Linked DNA regions of Callithrix jacchus. The protein of the gene in region 1 interacts with the protein of each later gene in a pairwise test. Links are inferred from orthologs where the notes say so. Each region holds a gene or a part of one and is shown on either strand. Other genes may lie near its edges.

Region 1 (4,284 bases):
ATCCAAGGAAGGGAGGATAAAGATCAGATCAAATAGAACTAGAATATGGAACTCAAGGCATTCTACTGTGGGGGAGGGGAGATGGAAAAGTGGGATGGCTGTTGGAGATATTCCATGAGGTTTCTAGTAAGTATGCAAAAACCAGGAATCCCCTTCAAACTACAGTTTGGCAACACAATTGATGTTCACCTCTTTAGGGCTATTTGTAAATTCTTTCCCAGATTCCCAAATATTACAGTTTTACCATTTGGTTCCCTATACTTCAATTCTTCACCAACATATCTCATTTCCTGTCCTTCAATACCAACCAGTTCTATAACTGACTTCCTATTAACAGCAAGTTGATGGTTGATCCCTGACTTAATTTAACGATGGCTATATTTTCTGAACTAAATTCAGAGTACATTCTTCTGTATACTTAAGGATCAAGGGAACTAAAGTTTAAAACTAGAATTGTCACCGGGCACAGTGGCTCACACCTGTAATCCCAGCACTTTGGGAGGCCGAGGCAGGCAGATCAGGAGGTCAGGAGTTTGAGAACAGCATGGTGAAACCCCGTCTCTACTAAAAATGTTTTAAAAAGTTAGCCGGGCATGGTGGCATACGCTTGTAGTCCCAGCTACTCTGGAGGCTGAGGCAGGAGAACTGCTTGAACCTGGCAGGTGGAGGTTGCAGTGAGCCGTGATCACGCCACTGCACTCCAGCCTCTGTGACAGAGCAAAACTCCATCTCAAAAAATAAAAAATAAAAAATAGAATTGTCAGATGATCCAAGGTGCTCAATTGCTGTGTGCACATCATTTCCTTGGAAAGCTGTCCAGTCTATTACCATAGGCTCTGTACTCCACAGAAGCTTTATCCTTTGCTGAAAAGCCTCACTAAATAAAAAAAAAGCTGCCATGCAGTTTAAAATTTCAAGAGCAGAAAGTTCTTTTTGTTAATTATTTTGATTTAAATTTTAAAAATATAATTTCTCTGCTTAGGTTCCTGTTGACTATTTCAGGCCAGTAACTCCCAGACTGTCCTCTATAGCCGCAGATTCATTCAAACTTGGACTTCCTTCCCTGGGGTTCACCGCATCTTTCTTGCTTCCTCTGAGATATTTTTTTTTTTTTTTTTGAGACAGAATCTCGCTCTTTTACCTAGGCTGGAGAACAGTGGTGCCATCTTGGCTCACTGCAACCTCCACCTACTAGGTTCGATGGATTCTTCTGCCTCAGCCTCCCAAGTAGCTGGGATTACAGGTGTGAGCCACCACGCCCAGCTTATTTTTTATTTATTTATTTATTTTTTTTTTGAGACGGAGTTTCGCTCTTGTTACCCAGGCTGGAGTGCAATGGCGCGATCTCGGCTCACCGCAACCTCCGCCTCCTGGGTTCAGGCAATTCTCCTGCCTCAGCCTCCTGAGTAGCTGGGATTACAGGCACGCGCCACCATGCCCAGCTAATTTTTTTTTTGTATTTTTAGTAGAGGCAGGGTTTCACCATGTTGACCAGTATGGTCTCGATCTGTTGACCTCGTGATCCACCTGCCTCGGCCTCCCAAAGTCCTGGGATTACAGGCTTGAGCCACCGCACCCGGCCCAATTTTTTATTTTTAGTAGAGACAAGGTTTCACTACATTGGCCAGGTTGGTCTCAAACTGCTGACCTCGTGACTGCCAGCCTCAGCCTCCCAAAGTGCTGGGATTACAGGAGTGAGCCACCATGCCGCGCCTTGTTTTCTAAAGACTCTTTTATTAATAAGACCTGAAGGCTGAAATCATCCTTTTTCTTTCTAACAAAAGTACTTGGATTTTTTTAAACTTTTAATAGGTAATACATTAGCAAGGTTCAAAAATCAAACTGCAAAATAAAATACATAGGAATAAGTCTGCCTCCCACCCCTTTCCCCTGTAACTAGTATCATCTGTTTCTTGTGAATACTTGCAGAGATATTTTATGCGACTACAAGTAAATACAAACCATATTCTTTTTTTTTTTTTCTCAGAGATGTAGTCTCGCTCTGTCGCCCAGGCTGGAGTGCAGTGGCACGATCTCAGCTCACTGCAACCTCCGCCTCCTGGGCTCAAGCTGTTCTCCTGCCTCAGCCTCCTGAGCTGGGATTACAGGAACGTGCCACTACATCCGGCTGATTTTTGTATTTTTAGTAGAGGTGGGGTTTCGCCATGTTGGTCAGGCTGGTCTCGAACTCCTGACCTCGTGATCCGCCTGCCTCAGCCTCCCAAAGTGCTGGGATTGCAGGCATGAACCACCGCGCACGGCCAAACCATATTCTTAAAAAAAATAATAAATTGCAGGTTTTTCTGGTTACACAATTAATATATATTCCAATGCTCTTGTCATTTTAAATAATGCCGTAATGATCATCTTTATAATGATACTTTGGTTATCATTTTCATTTATTTAAACGAGTCCTGTAAGGAGAATTTCTATATTCTTTTAAAAATTATAAAAACTCCTAGAAGGTGCACTTTGTTACGCTATTATTAGCTACTCACCACTATAAGAAAGAGTGCTGAATTTGCAGTAGAGACCTGAGTTTGAATCTCGGTTTGACCGCTGAAACATACTTCACCAGTTTCATAAGATAACTTTACGCTATTTTCGCTTTACGGAATATTGATACTCGTCATGCATTCTTTACCGCCAACGCTTTGAAATGGAGCAGGGGAACTGGATGTAAAAGAGGGGAGGGAAGAAAACCTCTTCTTTCTTCCCTGGGATAAAGGGGCTCTGAATCCTGGAGCCCTTGTTTCTTCAAGCACTAGAAACTCACTGCTCCTGAAATGGGCGTGTATCTTGAGATAATGACAGGACTCCATACATCATTGTTCTATCCACATCCATCCCTATCCCCCCTCTAAAGCTGTGTACCTAGCACACAGTGGGCATACTCCACGTGTTTTAGCCTGCAAAGTTGCAAGTGAGGCCCCAAGCCAAGCCCTGCTCTCGTGCGCCCTCTTCTGTCTAGCTGAAAATAAGGCAAAAATTGAGTACATTTTCCGGCGTGCCTGGAGAGACTGACTTCCGGCCCTGCAGGAAGGAAATTGACGAACACGTGACGCGACCGGGCAGTCGGAGCTGCGTACCGAATTGGAACCTCTGGCTCAAGAGTGGTCATGTTTCTCCAGTATTACCTCAACGAGGAGGGAGATCGGGTCTATACGCTGAAGGTGAGGAGAGAAAGTAGGTTGTAAATAGGCATAGCGAAAAATGTAGATGGGAGGAGTGGGTGAGGCCATCCACCGAGTTACCTAGCTGGGTGCGGAGAACCAGAAAGACCAGAACCGAGGTGAGGAAGAACCGGGAGTGCGCGACTAATTTTTTTTATTAAAAAAAAAAATGTGGTCGGGCGTGGTGGTTCACTCCTGTACTCTTTGCACTTGGGGAGGCCGAGGCGGATGAATTGCTTGAGCTCTGGAGTTCAAGACCACCTCGGCAACACGATGAAACTCAGTCTCTACTAAAATACAAAAAATAGCCTGGCGTGGCGCCGTCCGCTTGTAATCTCAGCCACTCGGGAGGCTGAGACAGGAGAATCGCTTGAACCCGGGAGGCGGAGGTTGCAGAGAGCTGAGATAGTGCTGTTGCACTCCAGCCTGAGCGACAAAGCGAGACTCCGTCTCAAAAAAAAATGTATATATAATATATATATTTTTTATAAAATTTTTTTAAAATCGTAGTTATCTCTAGGCGCGTTAGAGTCACTTTTTCTTTTTCTTTTTTTTTTTTTTTTTTGAGACAGACTTGCTTTGTTCCTAGGCTGTAGTGCAATGGCGCCATCTAAGCTCACTGGAGCCAATCTTGGGCCAAACGCTCCTCCTGCCTCAGCCTCCCGAGTAGCTGAGACTACAGGCGTGTGCCACCATGCCTGGCTAATTTTTGATTTGGGGTTTTTTTTTGTTTTTTGGTTTGGTTGGTTTTGTGTGTTTGTTTTTTGTAGAGACGTGGTTTGCCATATTGCCCAGGCTGGTCTCGAACTTCTGACTTCAAGCGATCCTTCCGCCGCTTGCCAAAGTATTGGGATTACAGGCGTGAGCCACCGCACCCGACCTTTTTACATTTTATTTTTATTTACTTATTTGTACAACTATTTGAGCTGACCATTGCATCTAATGTTTTCATGTTTGCTCTTTTTCACACTGTTCCACCCCATTTCACCACTCCTGAACTGACATACGTTCTCTCTTCCGCGAGCAGAAATTTGACCCAATGGGACAACAGACCTGTTCAGCCCATCCTGCTCGGTTCTCCCCAGATGACAAATACTCACGACACCGAATC
Region 2 (4,086 bases), on another chromosome or scaffold:
GTAGCGTGCCTGGGCCTCGGGGCTTAGCAGCAGGTTGTACAGGGCGATCCACACTTGCCCATCCAACTTGCTCAGCTTTTGCTGCTCTGAGGGGGCCACAGTATGCCAACGGCTGCCCTTGAACTGCTGCAGCTTGCCTGGGGAGAGGAACCAGCACACTGGGTGCAGGCGTTGCATTCTCTTCAAGTGAGCCAGCCATGGGGCCTGGGAGACTGACCATTGCCTGGGAATGGTGGGAGAGCCTGGGCCACAGGACTTGGGCAGGCTATATAGTGCTGCTCACCCCAGAGCAGGATGAGCCTCGGTAGTGGACACATGGGCCTGGCCTGCTGCAGAGCTCAGGTCTAGGACAAGCTTGGCTGAGGCATCCTGGTATCCTCAGTGGGCTTGGGGACAGGGTTTGTTTTCATATATGCAAGCTATCCCCCTTTACCAAAAAGATATCCTGAAGCAGTAGCCTGGGGCTTAGGCTGGTGGGGGAGGACCCTACCTCCTTCCCGCCGGCTCCAGGGACTATGCTCCAGCAGTTCCACCAGGAGGCAGGGCAGGTTGTGTGTGCTGAGCATGCGGCTCAAGGTACTGAGGGAGAGGCTAGGGGCAGGAATGTTGGGAAGGAGGTGAGCAGAGGCAGGCTACAGGCCCAGTCTTCCAGCCTTCCACGGTAGGCCCAGGCCCAGTCAGGCTGCCCACCTGTCCACGCAGTCTGTGATGTAGCGCAGTACTGAGAGGGCCTTCAGAGCAATCTCAAATTCCATCAACTCTGCCTGCTTCTGTAGCTCCTGGGAGGCCACACAGTGTTTATGCTGGGCCACTGGGCCACTCTCACTTGCGCAGGCCTTGGGGAACCCAGACCTAGGCCTTCTCAACCCTAGGGAACCTCAACCCACCTGCATGGGGTTGTTGTCCTGGGACCCCTCCTTCTCAGGGGGGCCACCACAGCCACTCTGGGCCACCAGCAGAGTCAGTTTGCGGTGGCAATAGTCTACCAAGTCCAAGACAGTGTCTTCTGCTGACTCACACACCTCCTGGGTGAAGCGGGGAGGGAAACTTTCTGTGTCTGATGCCCTCCTCACACAGATGCAACCTTCTTTCCTGCCAGGCCCTGACCTGGAACAGTGGCCCATGGGCAGAGATAGTCTCTCACCTTGTGGAAGAACACTGTCTCCAAGAGGTTGATGATGGAGGCCTCGTGGTGTACCTGTTAGACAAAAAGAAGAACAGGGCCTGAGGGAGGGATAGGGGCCACCAGCTTTCCTCCCGGGTCCAGAGCCCTCTGAAAGAGTGGGAGGAAGTATGAACTAGGGGCCAGCTCACCACCATGTAGATGGGGAAGGTGTTCTGAGGCTTGAAGTCCTCCACCCTGCAGAGCACGGGGAACACCTTCTGCTTCCACATCTCCACTGCAATCAGCTCCTCCACCAGCGTTGGGATCTTTGAAGTGGGGGGAAAGGACAGGGGGAAAGGACAGGAGTAAGATGGGCCTAGCCTGGCAACCCTCCCATCCCTGGCTCAGCTCAGCCCAGATCTCCTCAAACACTGCTGGGCCCCTAGACTCTCCTAGACCCCATGAGTATCCTTCCTGACTTCTCTTTTGCAACTTGGACCTTCATTTCCAGCTGCTCCCAACACCTCTGTGGATGTCCCCCATGCTTGTGACTGGCTCCTGCCCAGTCCCCAGACTGCCTTGCCCTGCCTGCACCTGTACCCTTATCCTCTCTCCCTCCATTCAGGCATTCAAGCCAGCCCTTCTGCTCATGCCCTCCCTCTTGTCCTTGTCCTCTGGTCCTCCAAGGCTCTTGTGTGCCTTGGCCTCACTCTTACTCAGGACCCTTCACAGTGCCCTGTTCCTACCCTATCCCCTAGTAACGAGCTCCACCTTTCTCTTACAAAGGAACTCTTTTTTTTGTGTGTGTGTGAATTGATATTTCAGGTCATCTGCTGGTGATACTCCCTGGTCCATGTTCCAGCCAGGCATCTCCCTGGTTTCTAACTCTGCTCTCTCATGTTAGGAAGGCTGCTTCCTTCCCTGCCAAAGATCCACTTCCAATTAAGTTATCTCCCCTCCCCCGCAGCCTTACAGTCAATTCACAGATGCCTTTAGGATTTGGGCCTTCCCCTCGAATCCTAAGCTGTTCTAGGACCTGCAACTTTCTCTTTATTCAACTCATGCCCTGCACCTGGCCTGGTGTGCCAGAGTCCTGTCCATAGGGATACATAATGTAACACATTCCTCTTTCACCTTCAGGGAGGACAGGTATACCAGGCCAGAGGGCAAAACACACAGGGCATTCCTGAGGGGTAGAGTGGGTATGGAGGAAGGCAGGAATCCTGCCTGTGACCTCAGGGTACCTTCCCATGGGTGACCAGCAGCTCCTGAATGGGCTCGCCCTGGCTGACTGTGGCATCGAGTATGGCTTGCATGTTCAGCTTCTCCAGGTTCTCGTGCTGCTGGTTCCACCTGCCCCCGAGGGTAAGTGCATGTGGGTGCACGTGTGTGCATTAGGAGTGAGGATGGGGGCTGGATCCTACTGAAACCTAACCTGATCCTAAGGGGCCACAGGGGGCTCAGGAGCAATAATACTCCTGTCTCAGAACGCTCTGCTTCCCCATTTGGAGGCCCCTCCACACTGGGCAGCCCCTCCACCCGTATCAGGCCCCAGCTCCCCCACTCAAGGACAATGACCCCATGACTCCGCCTGACCCAGGTGCCTCACCCTTCGGAGCCCATCTCGCGTAGCGGGAAGCTGCGCAGACCCCGCACCAGCACGTCAGCTTCCCCGGGCAGCAGCAGCTCCAGGTCTCCCATGTCGAGGCCGGGGTCCGACAGACCCTGGGCAGCAGTCGGGTGGGGTTACTAACACACGGGGACGATGCCCGACGGTGCCAAAGTCTGGGATCGGACAGTTACGGGACGGTTGGGGAGCGTGGGTTCTCGCAGTCATGGAAACGGGTTCGCCGCGCCTGCGCATTGCGGCCTGGGCCCGCCCCTGGAGGTAGCTCTCGCCTAAATCCGGGCGGGTCTACCGCCGGCCTCACCTAGGCCGCTGCCAATCGCTACAGTACCTGGATTCCCAGAGCTTTTCGGGCTGTGACCCACGAGTCTCTCCCGATTCTTGTGGCCTGGACTCTCTCCTGGGACGCCAAGTCGGCCTGCACAGGGATGGGGTAACCCCGACCCCACCAGCTCTTCCTGCGGCTGTGGCATGTTGACCCACTCGCTGCTCCTCCTCCTCCTCCTTATGGCGTCCCGGCTCCACTAGTTGGCTCCTGAAATACTTACTGCCAGGGCGCACGACTTCTCTCCATCCAGAATGTCGTCACCTGTCATGGGATAACTGTGGCAGCCTTTTCTCTAGACTTATTTCCACGCTTGGTCCTCATGAACAGCCGGGAGCCTCTTTTTAAAAAGTGTATGTCAGGCCAGGCGCGGTGGCTCACACCTGTAATCCCAGCACTTTGGGAGGCTGAGGCAGGCGGATCACTTGAGGTCAGGAGTTCGAGACCAGCCTGGGCAAAATGGTGAAACTCTGTCTCTATTAAAAATACAAAAATTACCCAGGTGTGGTGGCACACACCTATAGCCCCAGCTACTCGGGAGGCTGAGGTAGGAGAACTGCTTGAGCCCAGGAGGCAGAGGTTGCAGTGAGGCGAGATTGCACCACTGTACTTCAGCCTGGAGGACAAAACGACACTGTTTCAAAAAAAAAAAAAAGAAAGAAAGAAAAAACGTGTACAATTACTCTCTGGCATGAGAGAGGCTCTGCAGCTACTTCGGAGCACCAAATGCTAGGTCTGTCACAGCTTACTAGCACTTCTGCAAGATCTACTTCTTGCCCTCTCTCATACCTTGGGACTTGGATACTCGCTTCTCCCCCTTGCTTCCCTGGATCTCCCTCATACATTCCAAAGAGGTTTTTGCCTCAGGGGTTTTGCACTGTGCCTGGAATACTCTTCCTTCAGGGCTCAGTTTACACGTTGGATGGCCTTTCTTGGCCATTTAATCCAGAGCAGTCCCTGCTTCCAACCCAATTCATTCTTGATCACATCTTTTTTCTTTTTTTTTTGCGGTGGCATCTCCTCTGTCAC
Region 3 (4,282 bases), on another chromosome or scaffold:
CTACATTGGATGCTGCCAAAGGACTGTGAAAGAGGAGAATTTGCCCTTAGCTGGTGCAAAACTGCCTGGAATTCAAATGAACTGCTCTTGGTACTCACGGGAGGCAGCGGGGGCCAGCAATGGCATAGCAAGGGAATCTCTGTGTTCATGAATTCTGGCTGGCTTTCTGTCCAAATGTTTCATTTGCATATAGCTAGGCAAGTCTCCATCTGTAATTTGGAGATGCTGACTGTAATAACCCAAGTTGGCTTTGAGGAAGTACACAATGAAGAATCTAGTAGGATACTGGACCACAGGAGGAACGTAAAGTAAATGAGTTATGGTGACGGCCTGAGATGAGATGGAGAAGTAAAGTGTAAGATATTGGCTCTGTCTTTCTATAATTAATTAATGATAATATCACATTATACTTAGTGGACAATCCAAGACAATGACTGAATGAGATTGATTCACCCTCAAATTAATATTTTATATTCTCCCAGAGCCTATCTTGAATATTATACCTGAATATCACTTCAGCCCGGATTTCTGGGATAATTTCATAACAATTTCTAAGGGGGTGGGGAGAATGCACTGCAGCAATTTCTCAACCAGCTTGTGCCTTTTTGATTAGAACCTGTCTTCATTGGGCAAATAGTGAAGTGAAGGAAAGAGCTGGTGAGCCTCCAGCAGTCGATACCTGCCTGTTAGGAAGTTAGGATGTTTCAGTTTTATATCCTCAGTGAGAAAGCACAAACTTTGAAAGAAGCAAACTTCCTTCAGGGAACTGAAACCTTCAGATTTATCTTCTATTGAAAGGATTAGTGACAAAATTCTACTGATCAAAAAGGCATTAGGCACCAATTCATCCAAGTCACTTCCTTATTGTGTGATCTTGCCCAGTCTCTGAAACTCAGAGCTCGGTTGTAATTGTTAAGTTTATTTAAAAACGTGATCAAACCACCCTTTAAACCCATTGTTTGCATAAACATACTTTTAAAAAGGAATGTTATTTTTCTTCTGAGAATTTGTTGAAGGAAGTGGGGGTTTTTGCTACAACAAACCTAGCTCATTATAGAACTGGTGTATTAACCTTCAAGACTGAATAGTGATGTTTATATTCTCATTGGATGGTGGTACTTCCTGCGTTTTATGAGAACATGCTGAGCTTTTATGCTGGTAACGGAGGGTAAAACCCAGGTAAATAAACACCATAGCCGAAATTGAAGGGGGTGTATGTGTGTGCGTGCGTGTGTATGTGTGTGTGCGTGCGGTATTTCAAGCAGGAAAGCACAATTCTTTTAAAGCAGGAAAAGACAAAACAAAACAAATGTCTCTTAAAAGCACAAATGGACAAGTCATTAACCAGCTCCTTTGGTCTTGTGTAACAAATCCCTTCAAAGGATTAGATGGGGACTTCAAAGGAATAAAAATTCTCAAAACCAGACAGCTAATGACTCTTAAAATGGCATTTGCGTTGACAGGAAAATGATATCTTAAACACCCCCTGCTCCCCATGTTAACACTAAAGAATGGGTTAGGGATAGAGAAATACTCCAAACTGGTACGAGGCTCAGAAAACAGATGCGGCCAATGCTCATTAGAGCCCTGGTTACCTGACCCCAAACCCTTTTGAGACTATGCTAAAAACTGAGACTCTGCTCCCCAGAAGAATTAACCTACACGCAAAATGGTGCACTAACTTTCGAGGTTCACAGGCCCCATCGGTGGACCCCGAGGAGGGGTACGCGTACTCAGATTTACTCCGGATTTCGCTGCTCTAGAAATCCCTGGAGGCCCAGAGCCAGCTCCGAGAAGGGCGGTCAGACCCCTCACCCGCCCGGTACCCGCGCTGCTGGCAGCGGCTCCACCTGCGGACCGGGAAGTCGGCCGTTGGGGACCCCGGAGGCCTCCACTTGGAATGTTCCCCTTTCCAAGACCAAATGGACAAAGAGAAAGGGCCGAGACTGAGCGAGAGGGGAGAAGGGAGCAGTGAAGCCCGAACGCTCTTCCGACTGCACCTGCGCGCCTCCGGGCTTCCCTGGCGCCTGCTCCCGTGCAAACTTTCTGGCCCGCGGTGGCTTTAGGGAGCGTCCCGGTAGCCTGGAGGGGCCCACAGAGGCGCCGGGCCGACCCCTCGCCCTCCCGCCCGCCTCCCAGTCCCTCTCCCAGGGCCCCCGGAGTTACCCACGAGGAAGGGGGGAGTCCCGCGTTCGGCACAGGGGACCAAGGGCACGCCGGGGCGCGCACCTGGAGCCCCCTCGCGGGCCGCCTGGGTCCCCCCCGCCGCCCCGGGGCGGGAGGCCATGGACACCGGGGGTGGCAGGGGCAGGGGCGCTGCACTTACTCTGAAGGGTCCAGGCTCTTCCTTTCGATGGCCGAGGACATTGGGGAGGGAGGCGGCGTGCCGGGCGGTGGGGGCGCTCCCTTTGTCGCGCGGGGCTGGCCGGCTGCCGGGGCTCGGACCCCCTCGGGTGCTCGGGCGCCGCCGCTCCTGCGCCTCCGCTTGCTCTGGCGCTCCGGCGGCGAGCTCGCCCCTCCGCGCTCAAGGACAGTCACCGCGCTCCCTTCAAACGCCAAAGAGAGAGAGCGAATCACCGGGCTGCGGGCGCGCGGCGGCCGAGGCGGGGGCCGGGGCGCGCAGCCTGGCCCCGGAAGGCTGCAGCTGCTGCTGCTGCTCAGGACTTAACCTTCCATCCCGGTCCCGCCGCCGCCGCCGCCGCCGCCGCCGCCCGGTCCCTCTCGCGCACTGTCGCCGGCTTCGCGCCGCCCACGGGATGGTGCGCGCCCGCCCGGCCGCCCCGAGCCCCTCGCACCTTCGGCCCGGGTCTCCGCGCGCAGCTCGCCGCAGAGGGCAGAGAGGGGGCGGCGGCCTGGGGGCGGGGAGGGGATCGTGCGTCTCTCCCCGGGCTTCCTCCTCTCTCGGGAAGGTCTATTTTCGCTCAGCTTCCCTCTGTCTCTGGTTTCATTTCCTTTTTCCTGATCACGATTCAAATACAATAGAAGGAAATCACATTTAAAGAGACAGCTGCCCGGTCCCCCCACCTCCCCTTTTTTCTTCCTTTTTTTTTTTTTTTTTTTAACGGGGCTCCTGGGGATTAGCAATACAAACAGCAGCATCAGGACTGACTTGGTTTCTTAAAGGGGCCAGTGTCGGGAACGGGGAGAGCCGCTCGGAGAACACCTCTCCTTGGAGAGGAGGCTGGGCAGCCACTAAATCATTCTTCAGAGCTTCCCCTCTTCCGCCTTTCCCTTTTAGTTTAACTGAGGCAGAAAGTAACCCACGAACAGTTCGATCAACCAAGAAAAGACAAGAATGAGAAATAAGCACCTACAGAAATGCAAGCGTTCCGAGTGGCTTTTGCGTCCGTCCTGGGTTCGAGGTCCCAGATCCACGGACCCGGTGCACCGGGCTGTCCCGGACCGCGCAGCTCTGCGGGCGGTGGGCTCCAGGCTGCGGCCGCACTCTGCAGAGGCGATGGGGCTGTGCGGGCCGGGACTGCTGGGGACGCCTGAGCAGAGCCAGGGCAGCTAATCCCAGAGGGAGGGTGGCGGGGAGGGACTACGCGGGGCCAGGGATCCTCTCAGTCGACTCGTGGCGGAATCCCCTCCCTCAGCATCTTTCAGAATGCGGACTAATGCAGTTAAACTGCCCCCATGTGTAGTGCCAGTGCCTGGGTGACAGAGTGAGACCCCGACCAAAGAAAGTGCTTTTCCAATGTTCAGGAACAGTATTGGGAGATTATTTTGCCCTGGGTCAGGCATAAAGAAGGGGATTTGATTTGGGGGTTCAGGCTTCCCCCCCATCCAGCCTCCTTCTAGAAAGAGGCAGGAAGCAGAGGGGAAGGAGAGGAGGCTAGTAGTCTGCCCTTCCATGGAGAAAAACTTTGGCTCCCCTGGGCCTCAGAGTTCCTTGAAAATATCTGCATTCAGGCCTATTTCGGTGTGATGCCCGTCATTAAGGCTTGCAAGGAGGGAACTGCCAAGTACTTTCAGGATCCATGGTTTTATATGATCAGTCTGGATCATAGGCATACTTATTTTGTTCCCATTTTAAAGATGGCACCACGGGCCTGGCTGAGCTCACCCTGAAAGGTGGTAGTTGAAGTCAGAAGTGAATCCCTGCATGCTTCATTTTCCCTGTTCAGAGCCAAAGCTTTATGGACCTGTCCAAGTATAACCAGAGTTTACCACTGCCTGCATGCTCTTGTCATTTTTTGCCCCTGTGTCCCAAGGCTTGGGTCTCTAATGGCTATAATTAAAAGCTCTGTGTGTGTGTGTGTGTGTGTGTGTGTGTGTGTGA

The links.
Region 2: the proteins of NUTM1 (region 1) and ZMYND10 interact in binary tests that used the Homo sapiens proteins (3 or more experiments, as listed by UniProt). The two-hybrid records come from large-scale screens. The link is inferred for Callithrix jacchus from reciprocal best matches to the Homo sapiens genes NUTM1 and ZMYND10.
Region 3: the proteins of NUTM1 (region 1) and LMO2 interact in binary tests that used the Homo sapiens proteins (3 or more experiments, as listed by UniProt). The two-hybrid records come from large-scale screens. The link is inferred for Callithrix jacchus from reciprocal best matches to the Homo sapiens genes NUTM1 and LMO2.

What each region holds. Positions count from the first base shown.
Region 1 is NC_133509.1:54,033,163-54,037,446, reverse strand, and holds the start of NUTM1 (NUT family member 1), read right to left. Parts: upstream 2,887-4,284; 5' UTR 2,569-2,886; coding exon 2,499-2,568; intron 5-2,498; exon of another isoform or gene 1-4. Other genes in the region: NOP10 (H/ACA ribonucleoprotein complex subunit 3), read left to right, coding at 3,120-3,173, 4,201-4,284. UniProt on the Homo sapiens protein: Plays a role in the regulation of proliferation. Regulates TERT expression by modulating SP1 binding to TERT promoter binding sites.
Region 2 is NC_133516.1:32,917,107-32,921,192, forward strand, and holds the start of ZMYND10 (zinc finger MYND domain-containing protein 10), read right to left. Parts: upstream 2,941-4,086; 5' UTR 2,807-2,940; coding exon 2,715-2,806; intron 2,459-2,714; coding exon 2,350-2,458; intron 1,432-2,349; coding exon 1,315-1,431; intron 1,199-1,314; coding exon 1,145-1,198; intron 1,026-1,144; coding exon 888-1,025; intron 780-887; coding exon 691-779; intron 592-690; coding exon 491-591; intron 138-490; coding exon 1-137. UniProt on the Homo sapiens protein: Plays a role in axonemal structure organization and motility. Involved in axonemal pre-assembly of inner and outer dynein arms (IDA and ODA, respectively) for proper axoneme building for cilia motility.
Region 3 is NC_133511.1:99,243,086-99,247,367, forward strand, and holds the start of LMO2 (rhombotin-2), read right to left. Parts: upstream 2,941-4,282; 5' UTR 2,677-2,940; coding exon 2,670-2,676; intron 2,547-2,669; coding exon 2,327-2,546; intron 1-2,326. UniProt on the Homo sapiens protein: Acts with TAL1/SCL to regulate red blood cell development. Also acts with LDB1 to maintain erythroid precursors in an immature state.